2 linked regions of the Drosophila melanogaster genome follow. The protein of the gene in region 1 purifies or fractionates together with the protein of each later gene. This does not show direct contact. Each region holds a gene or a part of one and is shown on either strand. Other genes may lie near its edges. The genes, in order: Nup62 and Tdh.

The links.
Region 2: the proteins of Nup62 (region 1) and Tdh purify together in Drosophila melanogaster (affinity purification with mass spectrometry, with the first as the bait; one large-scale study listed by BioGRID). This does not show direct contact.

Annotation. Positions count from the first base shown.
Region 1 is NT_033778.4:16,342,426-16,346,642, forward strand, and holds Nup62 (nucleoporin 62kD), read left to right. Parts: upstream 1-1,951; 5' UTR 1,952-2,155; coding exon 2,156-3,340; 3' UTR 3,341-3,403; downstream 3,404-4,217. Other genes in the region: CG7997 (uncharacterized protein), read right to left, coding at 52-229, 298-345, 581-610, 670-761; wcd (wicked), read right to left, coding at 3,450-4,217. UniProt on the Drosophila melanogaster protein: Essential component of the nuclear pore complex. The N-terminal is probably involved in nucleocytoplasmic transport.
Region 2 is NT_037436.4:20,464,980-20,470,364, forward strand, and holds Tdh (L-threonine dehydrogenase), read left to right. Parts: upstream 1-1,964; 5' UTR 1,965-2,032; coding exon 2,033-2,186; intron 2,187-2,739; coding exon 2,740-2,989; intron 2,990-3,147; coding exon 3,148-3,274; intron 3,275-3,333; coding exon 3,334-3,481; intron 3,482-3,986; coding exon 3,987-4,092; intron 4,093-4,152; coding exon 4,153-4,471; 3' UTR 4,472-4,613; downstream 4,614-5,385. Other genes in the region: CG42764 (uncharacterized protein), read right to left, coding at 1-14, 71-372, 433-561, 642-674; CG32428 (uncharacterized protein), read right to left, coding at 4,818-5,005.

The sequences.
Region 1 (4,217 bases):
TTCGTGTTAGTTTGGCAGCCTTGAGGGCTAGAGTTATATATTAGAAATTACATGATCGGATAAAGCATTTAGGCCGTTGGGAAAGCGCTTTCTGTCCGGAACCAGCTTCTGGGTATCGTTGTCGCGATTCTTCTCCAGCCAGCAGTCATCTATGATGACGTACTCGTAGCCAGCATCCGCATATCCTTCAGAAACCAGGAGATCCGCATGTCTTTGGAAAAGTTTTTCACTGAAACAGGTGAAATGAACAAGAAGTAAAGGAACATTTGAGGATCTGAGTTGGGTTTGGGTATTAACCTGATGCACTCATCCGGATACAGTTTACAGTCGGTGATGCAACGGAATCTGTAAGTAAGACATGGGTAATCAAAAATTCAGAGAATCTTTAAATAGACTATAGTTATATCAGTAGTGTTAGTTATATCAGCAATGAAATAAACAAAAGCGTTATTGCAGCGTAGCGTGTAGAGTTCATGCCAAGGCCTAATTTTTACTAACTATTAAAGTTTATTTATTTTAAATGTTAGACGTAATGATAATTCTTTATGATCTAATCTAGTTGCTGGTAAATATTTCTTACCGCTCCCAGGACATCCAGCCCATAGGTGGCCTAAAATCGACAGAATTTCAATTAAGTGGCCTAGAATCCAATCAAAATTTAATACTCACTTTAGTGCCAGGCCATTATCGAGGCCCATGGATAATTGCAGAACCTGCAGCAGAAGAATCCCGCCCAGAAAGACGCCCCACGTTCCGTACATGGCGAGCTAGTGGCACCGACTGAATCCTGGCCTTTGGGCACCCAGGGAATTTATATTCTCCAGCGGGCGGCACTCCAGATAACTCTGTTTGGCAGGGGCACCTGAGGAGCTGGAGGTAGGGGAATGGCACCTGAAGAGCTGACAGAAGGTTAGTGGCTAATTGCTATTGCAGCGGAGTACTCCCATCGACTGATTGGTGTTCGCCGGGTGGCGCAAACAGCGGGCTTTCTCGATTGCAGGAGGAGCCGGAGCCCCTTATCACGCCAAGTTCACAGCGATCACAGGGAGCAAATAGAGAAAATCGAGGAGAGACCGAGAACAGGGGCTTTTGATTCTGATATGCTTTTGTTGTTCAATTCTGGCGCTGCTTGCCAGCTACACTGGTCAACAAAGTTGGGGAAATAGTTGGAAGCATAGTAGACTAGAGCACGGTACTAGTGATGGGAAAACATGTACTAACAAAACATAGGAACTATGGTCTTTTATTAGAAAATTTTGATCTGGTTTTTAAGAATAATTTAAAATTTCTGTTTTTGAGGATCAGATCTCAGATCTTATGAAAATCTTAAAAAGAATCTTATTACAAAAAAAAAAAAAACCGAAGGTCAAAGACAAGCTCTAATTGTTGTACCGCATTACGTTTGTACCTTAGGTAATTTTTCTAATTTTGTGGCTGGCAGCTCTGAAGAGAACCTACACAGGTACGCAGAACGAACCTTCTGATAGGAAGCACACATGTGTTTAGCTGATTTAGCAAAATGCAATTACTGAACTGAGTGCCGCTGCACTTTGGGCTTGTAATTGAATTCTTTTGACCCAAATGTTACCTTATCGCCTTTGCACTTACAGATAGCAAAAGATGACTAATTAAAGCCGGTGTTTTGTTATTGATTTTGTTTGTACGATTGACTACGTTTTCTTTCTGAGTTGGTTTTTTTATTTAAGTTGCGCGGAATGATTTGTTCCATGTACGACTAAAACTGGAGCTAAAACATAGCTCTCGACCAGTGTTGTTTGTCGATTTCGCAAGTTAGTTGATCGCTGGTTAAAAAAACGGACACAGACATAAATATATTTTAAAAGTGCAAAAAGTGATTGCAAACGTTAAAATAATATAAATGTTTTGGTTTTCAGCATGTTTTAGTAACAAAAATGTATCGTCGACTGAGCAAAGTACTTCATTTGTATTGCCAATTCAAAGAAATTTAAAATTTAATTTTGCCGCCCAATCTTCAAACTGCTAAGTGTTTTGGCTTGAAAATAGCTAGCTTGAGCTCAAATTTAGTTGATTTCCAACACCGACAACATTGCGGAACTCCAAGGAGGGGTCACACTGGTTGCTTTTGGCGTGTTTCGTTTGATTTAGATTTATATTATTCGTCTTAAGTTTAAGCATGGTATTCCAGTTGCCAACAACAACCGCCGCCCCGACCGGAGGCGCAACATCGTCGTTTTCCTTCGGCCTCAGCACAGGAACACCAGCCGCAGCACCAGCTTCAGGAGCAGCAACCACGGCTCCCGCCACAAAAACCACATTCTCTTTCGGAACACCGGCACCTACTGCTGGTATCGGTGGCGGAGATGCAGACAACAGCAAGGCGCAGGCTCCACCAGCCTTTGGATTTGGCCTGGGATCCGGGACTGCTTCAGCTCCCCTCACGCTGGGCACTCAAGCCGCCGCAAATCCAGCGTCCACCACTTCTGCGACCGCGACTGGAACCTCTGCTGCTCCTCCCGCCTTCGGAGGCTTTACGGCTCAACCAGCGGCATCTGTGGTGCCAACTATAGCAACCAGTGCACCCAACACCGCAGCTACCACAACTGGATTGCTGGGCGGGTCTGGATTGGGAGCTCCCAAGACCACGGCCGCTGCGTCCACAACTCTGACTGCAGCTCCGTCGGCCATAGCCTCCACGCAGGGAGCTGCACCGGCCCCAACTTTAAGTACTGGTGGTGCTTTTGCCAATCTCACTACCGAAACCAAGACCACAGACTCATCGGCCGTTTCCACGGCATCCCAATTGTCCTACCACCAACTTGAGGAGCATATCAACAAGTGGACTCTCGAGTTCGAGGAACAGGAAAAGGTATTCACCGAACAGGCCACTCAGATCAACGCATGGGACAAACTGCTCATCAGCAACAACGGGAAGATCGTCGAGCTCAACGATGCCGTGAAAAAAGTGAAAACCGATCAGCAAGTGCTGGACCAGGAGCTGGAGTTTATAGCCACGCAGCAAAAAGAGCTTGAGGACAGCCTGGGACCGCTTGAGAAGGAATTCGTTAATCTCCCGAGGGTGGACATGGAACGCAGCCAAACCTACCTGATGGTGGAGAATCTGGACACACAACTGAAGCAGATGTCCGAGGATCTAAAGGAGATAATAGACAACTTGAACGAGGCCAACAAGGGCCAGGACACCACTGATCCCATCATACAGATCGGAAAAATCCTTAATGCCCATATGAATTCGTTGCAGTGGATCGAATCGCAGTCGACGAACATCAGCAAGAAGCTGGAAGACATTGGCAAGATTCAAGACTCCCAGAAACGCGATATTTTCCGAGCTCCTTTCTAAAGATAAGTCCCCTTAATTTGTTAACTTAAATAAAGATGGTTCCATTGTAACCACAGAAAGAGTAATGATTTTATTTAAGAATTTATTGTAAACATCATACTGCCTTCAATTAATAACCCTTGAAGTACTTAAGCCTAAAGAGCGGCACCTGTTTGCCCTTAGTGGCAAAGGCCAGGAAGCTGCTGTGCGGCGAAAAGGCCATGGAGGTCACAAAGCCAACCTTCTCGTTCTGTGCCGGGAAATTGGAGTACACAGTGGCGCTGGGGAAATGGGCCAGCTTAAAAGCATTCGGCGCCTCACTGGAGCACATCGCCAGTAGCTCAGATGAGTGATTGAACTGGAGATCCGTGATGGCAGTCCGTAGGTTCATGAAGCGCTTCTCGGGTTGTGGGGCCTTGGATGCGAAAATGCTCTCGTAGTCGTAGATGTTGACCACGCCCTCTTGACTGCCGGTGGCCAGTAGGCGTTGGTTGGGAGACAGTTGAATGGACTCTCCATGTATACAGCCGTCGTCCATGAAGATGTGCTCGATGAGGTTCTGGCGCAGGTTCAGCACGCTGACATTGGAAGTGGAACCGCAGACGAGGATCCTCTTGGAGTCACTAGACCATGTGAATCCCTTCACTTTGCCCTCCTGCTTGAAGCTGTGCAGCAGCTCATTTGTTTTGGCCGTGAGCAGGTGAATGGCTCCAAACTTGCCAGCAGTGACGATAAATTTGCCACATGGAGACACCTCAAAGCGGTGCATAAATTCCATTGCGCCCGGCAGCTTTAGCTTCGATTCCTTGGCTTCCAGCAAGTCGTAGGAGTAGTAGAATGGTTTCACAGAACCAAAGAACGCCCTTGTGCCGCATGGAGCAATTCTGGAGCACGCCAG
Region 2 (5,385 bases), on another chromosome or scaffold:
GTCCGCCCTTTTTCCTGAAACATGTATTTTTTTTATTGCCAGTGACGCGAAAAATGCACACTTTACTTACGATCGATCTTTTGGCGCCCATCCAACACCCATTTCTGTCGTTGATTTCCACGTGATGGCCGAGAATTTGTCAGCCAATGATTGTTCGACTTTCGTCCTTCGCTCCTTTGCTATGCCATAGGATGCCGCCCCTTCACTAGCCCAGTAATAAACACACTCATTTCTTATAAATTCGCAAATATTCTCCGTATAGAAATCATTTTCCGGCTCCGATAAGGGATAGTCCAAGTGATCCACTCGAATGTTTCTATCTTTAGCTGTCTCGTATAATATTTGATCTGGAATATTTAAAGTAGCCAGATGCTGTGTATGATCAGTTTTCAGTTTATCTGTGCAAATGAAGTAGCGTACGACGATTCATACAATTGCGTACTCTTCAGCATCGTGGGAGAGTTCATCCGATTCGATTAGCTCTGGAACTACCCAAGTCCTACGGTGATCATTGTGAGCATCGTACGCTTCGCTCCTAATGACATTGTATCCCAAGCAAGGCTGTTAGAAGTAGCATAATTGTTATATTTTATATTATATTATATATTATATTTTTTTATATTAATTATGTTTTAAATTACCCTAAAAGCAAGAAAAAACAGAAAAAGCAGCATGTATTACGTTTGTTGTGTTTATTGCACACTGTATTTTGACAAGATTTTCTAGACTGTCAAGTTTGTTTCTCAAAAAAAAACAGAAAAGATAATGCTTAGACATAAAATATTGCGGAATAGGTGCACAACATGCAAGAAGAAAAGTGAAATTTTCAGCTGTTATTGTTTTTCTCCTGTCAGGCACAATAATATAATAATATTTTTAATTCTATAAGCATAATATTTACGAAATTCTCCCCAATCCAATCCATCTATATGCGTCATGCAGTTGTCAGGGCCATGTTTGCACCCCACTGCTACCAGACGATAAGACCACTACGGAAACTAGTCGGTCATCTCGTCGATTGCCGGATTCATTGCACTTTACTATCTGGACACTCCACGTGTTCTATTCAAATTCGGACTGACACCCGCCCAGGGATTTCAGTTCACTGTCAGCGAAACTGAAATTTGCACTGGATTCCATCCAAGGTTAATTCGATTTGCGGCACATGAAGGGATCGTTTATCATTAAGATCGGACGATGTTCTTTCTGAATGGTGTGATGTTAGGTTTTAGGATAGACAATACATGGTATGTTGGGACTAGTTAACACTGTTTTGGTTGATCAAGTTCTACGATTCGTTTGCTGGAGTGCTTAACAAGTAATTACTTCTTCTAATTTAGTTCGAGTAATCTATGAAGTTCTGTTTTAAACTATTACCTACTAGAAAGACTTCCTTGGGTTAGAGTGGCTTTATGTTATAGCAGTTCGATTGATGGGTAAAGAGAATTCGAGTGGTCGCACACACACACCGCATGGATTGGCCCCCTAGAAAAGAGGGGCCTGTCCGAGAACCCAGCTAAAGAGCACCCTGTAGATTACATAACCGCCCGTCAACCGAGACATATGTACATATATGATGTATTTGCACAGATTTAGACATGCCCCGCCGCAGAAAAGGAAAGCCACCCAACTGAGTTGTTGTTGTCAATTGGCGGGCCTCCTCCATATAATTTGCTTTCGTTTTTATTGAATCTTGCCGGGGCCCCAAACAAAATCGGTGCGCCATGGCGACAAGTCCCACTTCCATAGCCATACCCATACCCATTCCTGATCTCATAATGAATTTGACTGGCTGCCAACTGACACTCACTAACCCAATTGACTAAGTAACTAAGCGACCAGACGAGACGATTGGAGCCGACGGGATCCGAGTGCTCAGGCGATATATATATGTATGTACATATGTATATAGCGGAAACAAGGCGCTAATGTTGAGGGACTGGTGGAAAACATTTCGCAAATTTCGAAATCAGTTCAAAATCGCAGCTCGCTGGCAGCGCTCGTCGCGAATCGAAAAAGTCCAGTTCGCAAAATGTTTCGCAAATGCCTCGCCAGCCTGGCTTTGGCCCCAGTTGCCAGTCCCATTCCGCTGCCCAGGATCACCCCGATCGCCAGCCAGCTTGTCCAGCGTCGCGCGTTCCACCAGGTTCCTCGCGAGAGTAGGCCACCCAAAATTCTGATCACAGGTCAGTTGCCGCGCCACGTGGATCTGCTAAATTTAACCGCGTCCAAGGCCGATCGGAACAAATTTATCATATTTTAGCATATAGTGGACACGTTTAACTGAAAGACATCCCACAGTTTATACATGCTTTTGAATATTTTTTGACATTTTTGGAAGTTTTACATCCCTTGTGAACTTACAAGTTATAGTTATAGTGATGGTGTCAGCAAATAGAACAGCAAGAATATAATATAATATTGAAATGATAACTTTTTTACTTTAGTGTAAGATCTAAGTGCTGCGAAGCACTAGATACATTAAACAATCTATTCTATATAACTAGGATATATAAAGAAAGAAATGGTAATCTGGTGATTTTAGCTCCAAATATTATATGTAAATTCCCTATACCTGTGCATGGAAAAACTAATTTTCCTATTTTAATTCGTTTATACACGTTTTATTTCTCAAAATGCTGGCCCGTTAAGTGTGAAGCCTGAAAGAATGCTACAATATGTATTGTAGATTCACTTTCAATAAAATCTGAGTGCAACAATCGTTTTGATTTCTTTCAGGTGGCTTGGGCCAGTTGGGCATCGAGTGCGCCAAACTCCTGCGGACGCAGTATGGCAGCCAAAACGTGATCCTCTCGGACATTATAAAGCCCAGTCAGTCGGTACTGGAGAATGGTCCCTACATTTTTGCCGACATCCTGGACTTCAAGGGTCTCCAGAAGATCGTTGTGGACCATCGCATTGACTGGCTGATCCATTTCTCGGCCCTGCTGAGTGCGGTGGGAGAGCAAAATGTTCCACTGGCTGTGAGGTAGGATATCTTAGTTATCTCTAGTTGCAATCATTATAGCAAACCCTATCCTACATTCCTTTCCAAGTAACTAAAGTCAAGTAACTACTCCCACGTAACTATTGCATAATGACTCTTGTGCCATTTTAATCGTAAGTAATATGAATCCTCCATCGCAGGGTCAACATCGAGGGTGTCCACAACGTCATCGAGCTGGCGAAGCAGTATAAGCTCCGCATCTTCGTACCAAGCACAATCGGAGCCTTCGGTCCCGACAGTCCTCGCAATCCCACGCCGAATGTTACGGTAGGTCCACCACTTTCAAAGCCAGAAGTTTGTTCGATACTGAGGACCCATTTCCGCAGATCCAACGGCCGCGCACCATTTACGGCGTTTCCAAGGTGCACGCCGAGCTGATTGGCGAATACTACTACCACAAGTTTGGACTGGACTTCAGATGCCTGCGCTTCCCAGGAGTGATTTCCAGTGATCCGCCGGGCGGCGGCACCACAGGTATTTAAGCACCGTACATTTCTGTGGAGACTCAAGCACATCAATCTGCGTGGAAATATCTGCGAGATACTCTTCCCGCTGAAGTCATGTCGTCGAGCGCACTTCAAGCTTTATTTAATCCAATTTCGTATCATAAATGCTCCAATTGAAGATAGTTTATGATAATCAAAGAGCATGACAATGGCCATAATTCGTACAAAATGCAGAGGGTTTTGTTGGGGAGCCGCAAACCTGGTGACCCATATTAACTTATCTTTGATTGAACTGATTAACTTAAAGATTGTCTAAGTCTCAACTACTCTGCATTGCTTTCACTCATGAATGGAATAATAATGCTTATTACACTTTGGGGAAAGCTAATTTGTTTTAATGCCATTGCATTCTTATGAAATCACGTATACGCACCGTGAATCGAATCATTTCTGCAGCTTTATACAAATTTATAATGTACCAAAAACAAGTCCTGCTTTAACATTTCACATTTGTTATTTGTTTCAACTTTTAGATTACGCTGTGGCCGTGTTCCATGAAGCGCTGCGCAATGGAAAGTACACCTGCTACCTGCGTCCTGACACAAGACTGCCCATGATGTACATTGAAGATTGTTTGCGGTGAGTAATAAGTGCATTGTAACAAACTATTTCTTTGTTACTAATGACCCATCTAACTAGGGCTCTCCTCGAGTTCATGCGTGCTCCCAACGAACAGCTGAAGCGCCGCGTCTACAACGTGACCGCCATGTCCTTCACTCCCGAGGAGCTGTTCGCCCAGCTGGGCAAGCACGTGCCCAATCTGCACGTGACCTACAAGCCAGATAGCCGCCAGTTGATCGCAGACGCCTGGCCGCAGGTATTCGATGACTCCGATGCGCGGCGCGACTGGCACTGGCAGCACAAGTACGACCTGTCCAACCTGGTGGACTTCATGATCAAGGACGTGCAGGATAACTACATTAATGTTCAGCCGGAGCAGCAGACTCTGCAGATCTAAGACGTGGATCGAACAACCGCATCTAGTATTGCTAAGTAATGAAATCCAATCGCATTTAACACTGCATTTATCTAGTGAATAGCAACACAAACCACTGTAACATTTTACCTTTTAAAATACAGTAAGGCATTTATTGGAAAGGAAAACTATTGGTTCATTTCATCTTGAAGAATTGTGATCTTAAAGTTCTTCAGCACATGGAAATACTTTCGATTATTGATGTGAGTTTCGCACGATAGCTTTTGGTTTATTCGAACTCAAATACTATTGGTAAGCACCTTTAGTTTGCGACAGCTTATATTACAACTTAGGCTAGGATGTACAATTCTTGCTCGGAGTTACTTTATCATATATCAGACTCCTCTAGCTCCGATCCGCCGAGCCCACAAAAGTGGTGCAGACTGCCGCCGTGTGTGGCTATATACAAGTCCGCTTCGGCTTCGCTGCCTATGGACTTTAATTTGATTTTCCCAATAGAATTATTAGATTTTCTTGACTTTTGCTGCGGGGACGGCACTCGTTGCTCTGCGGATTCTGTAAACGAGCAGATTGGAGATTTGTCTATCAATTTGGGTCACTAACTTGGCCTTTCGCGTTTGCTGTTTGGATCTTCCACAAAGTGCTCTTTAAAAGTTGGCTGACTTCATTAACTTAAACTTCGAATAAAATAGAAAAAATAAAGTATATAAAAAAAATTTAAGTATAACAGAATTTATATAAAGATCGGTGGTAGCTGTTAAGTTTATTGCAAATATATGTGAGTGTAAAAATTGATACAAAAGATATAAGCACTCACCGCGGTCTTAAGCTACTAAGTCATCAATATACCTAAAGCATATGTTGATAACGATTTGAACTAATGGTAAAGTATACCTTAGAAATAAATTTACGACTATGGTTGCGTATCAGCCAAC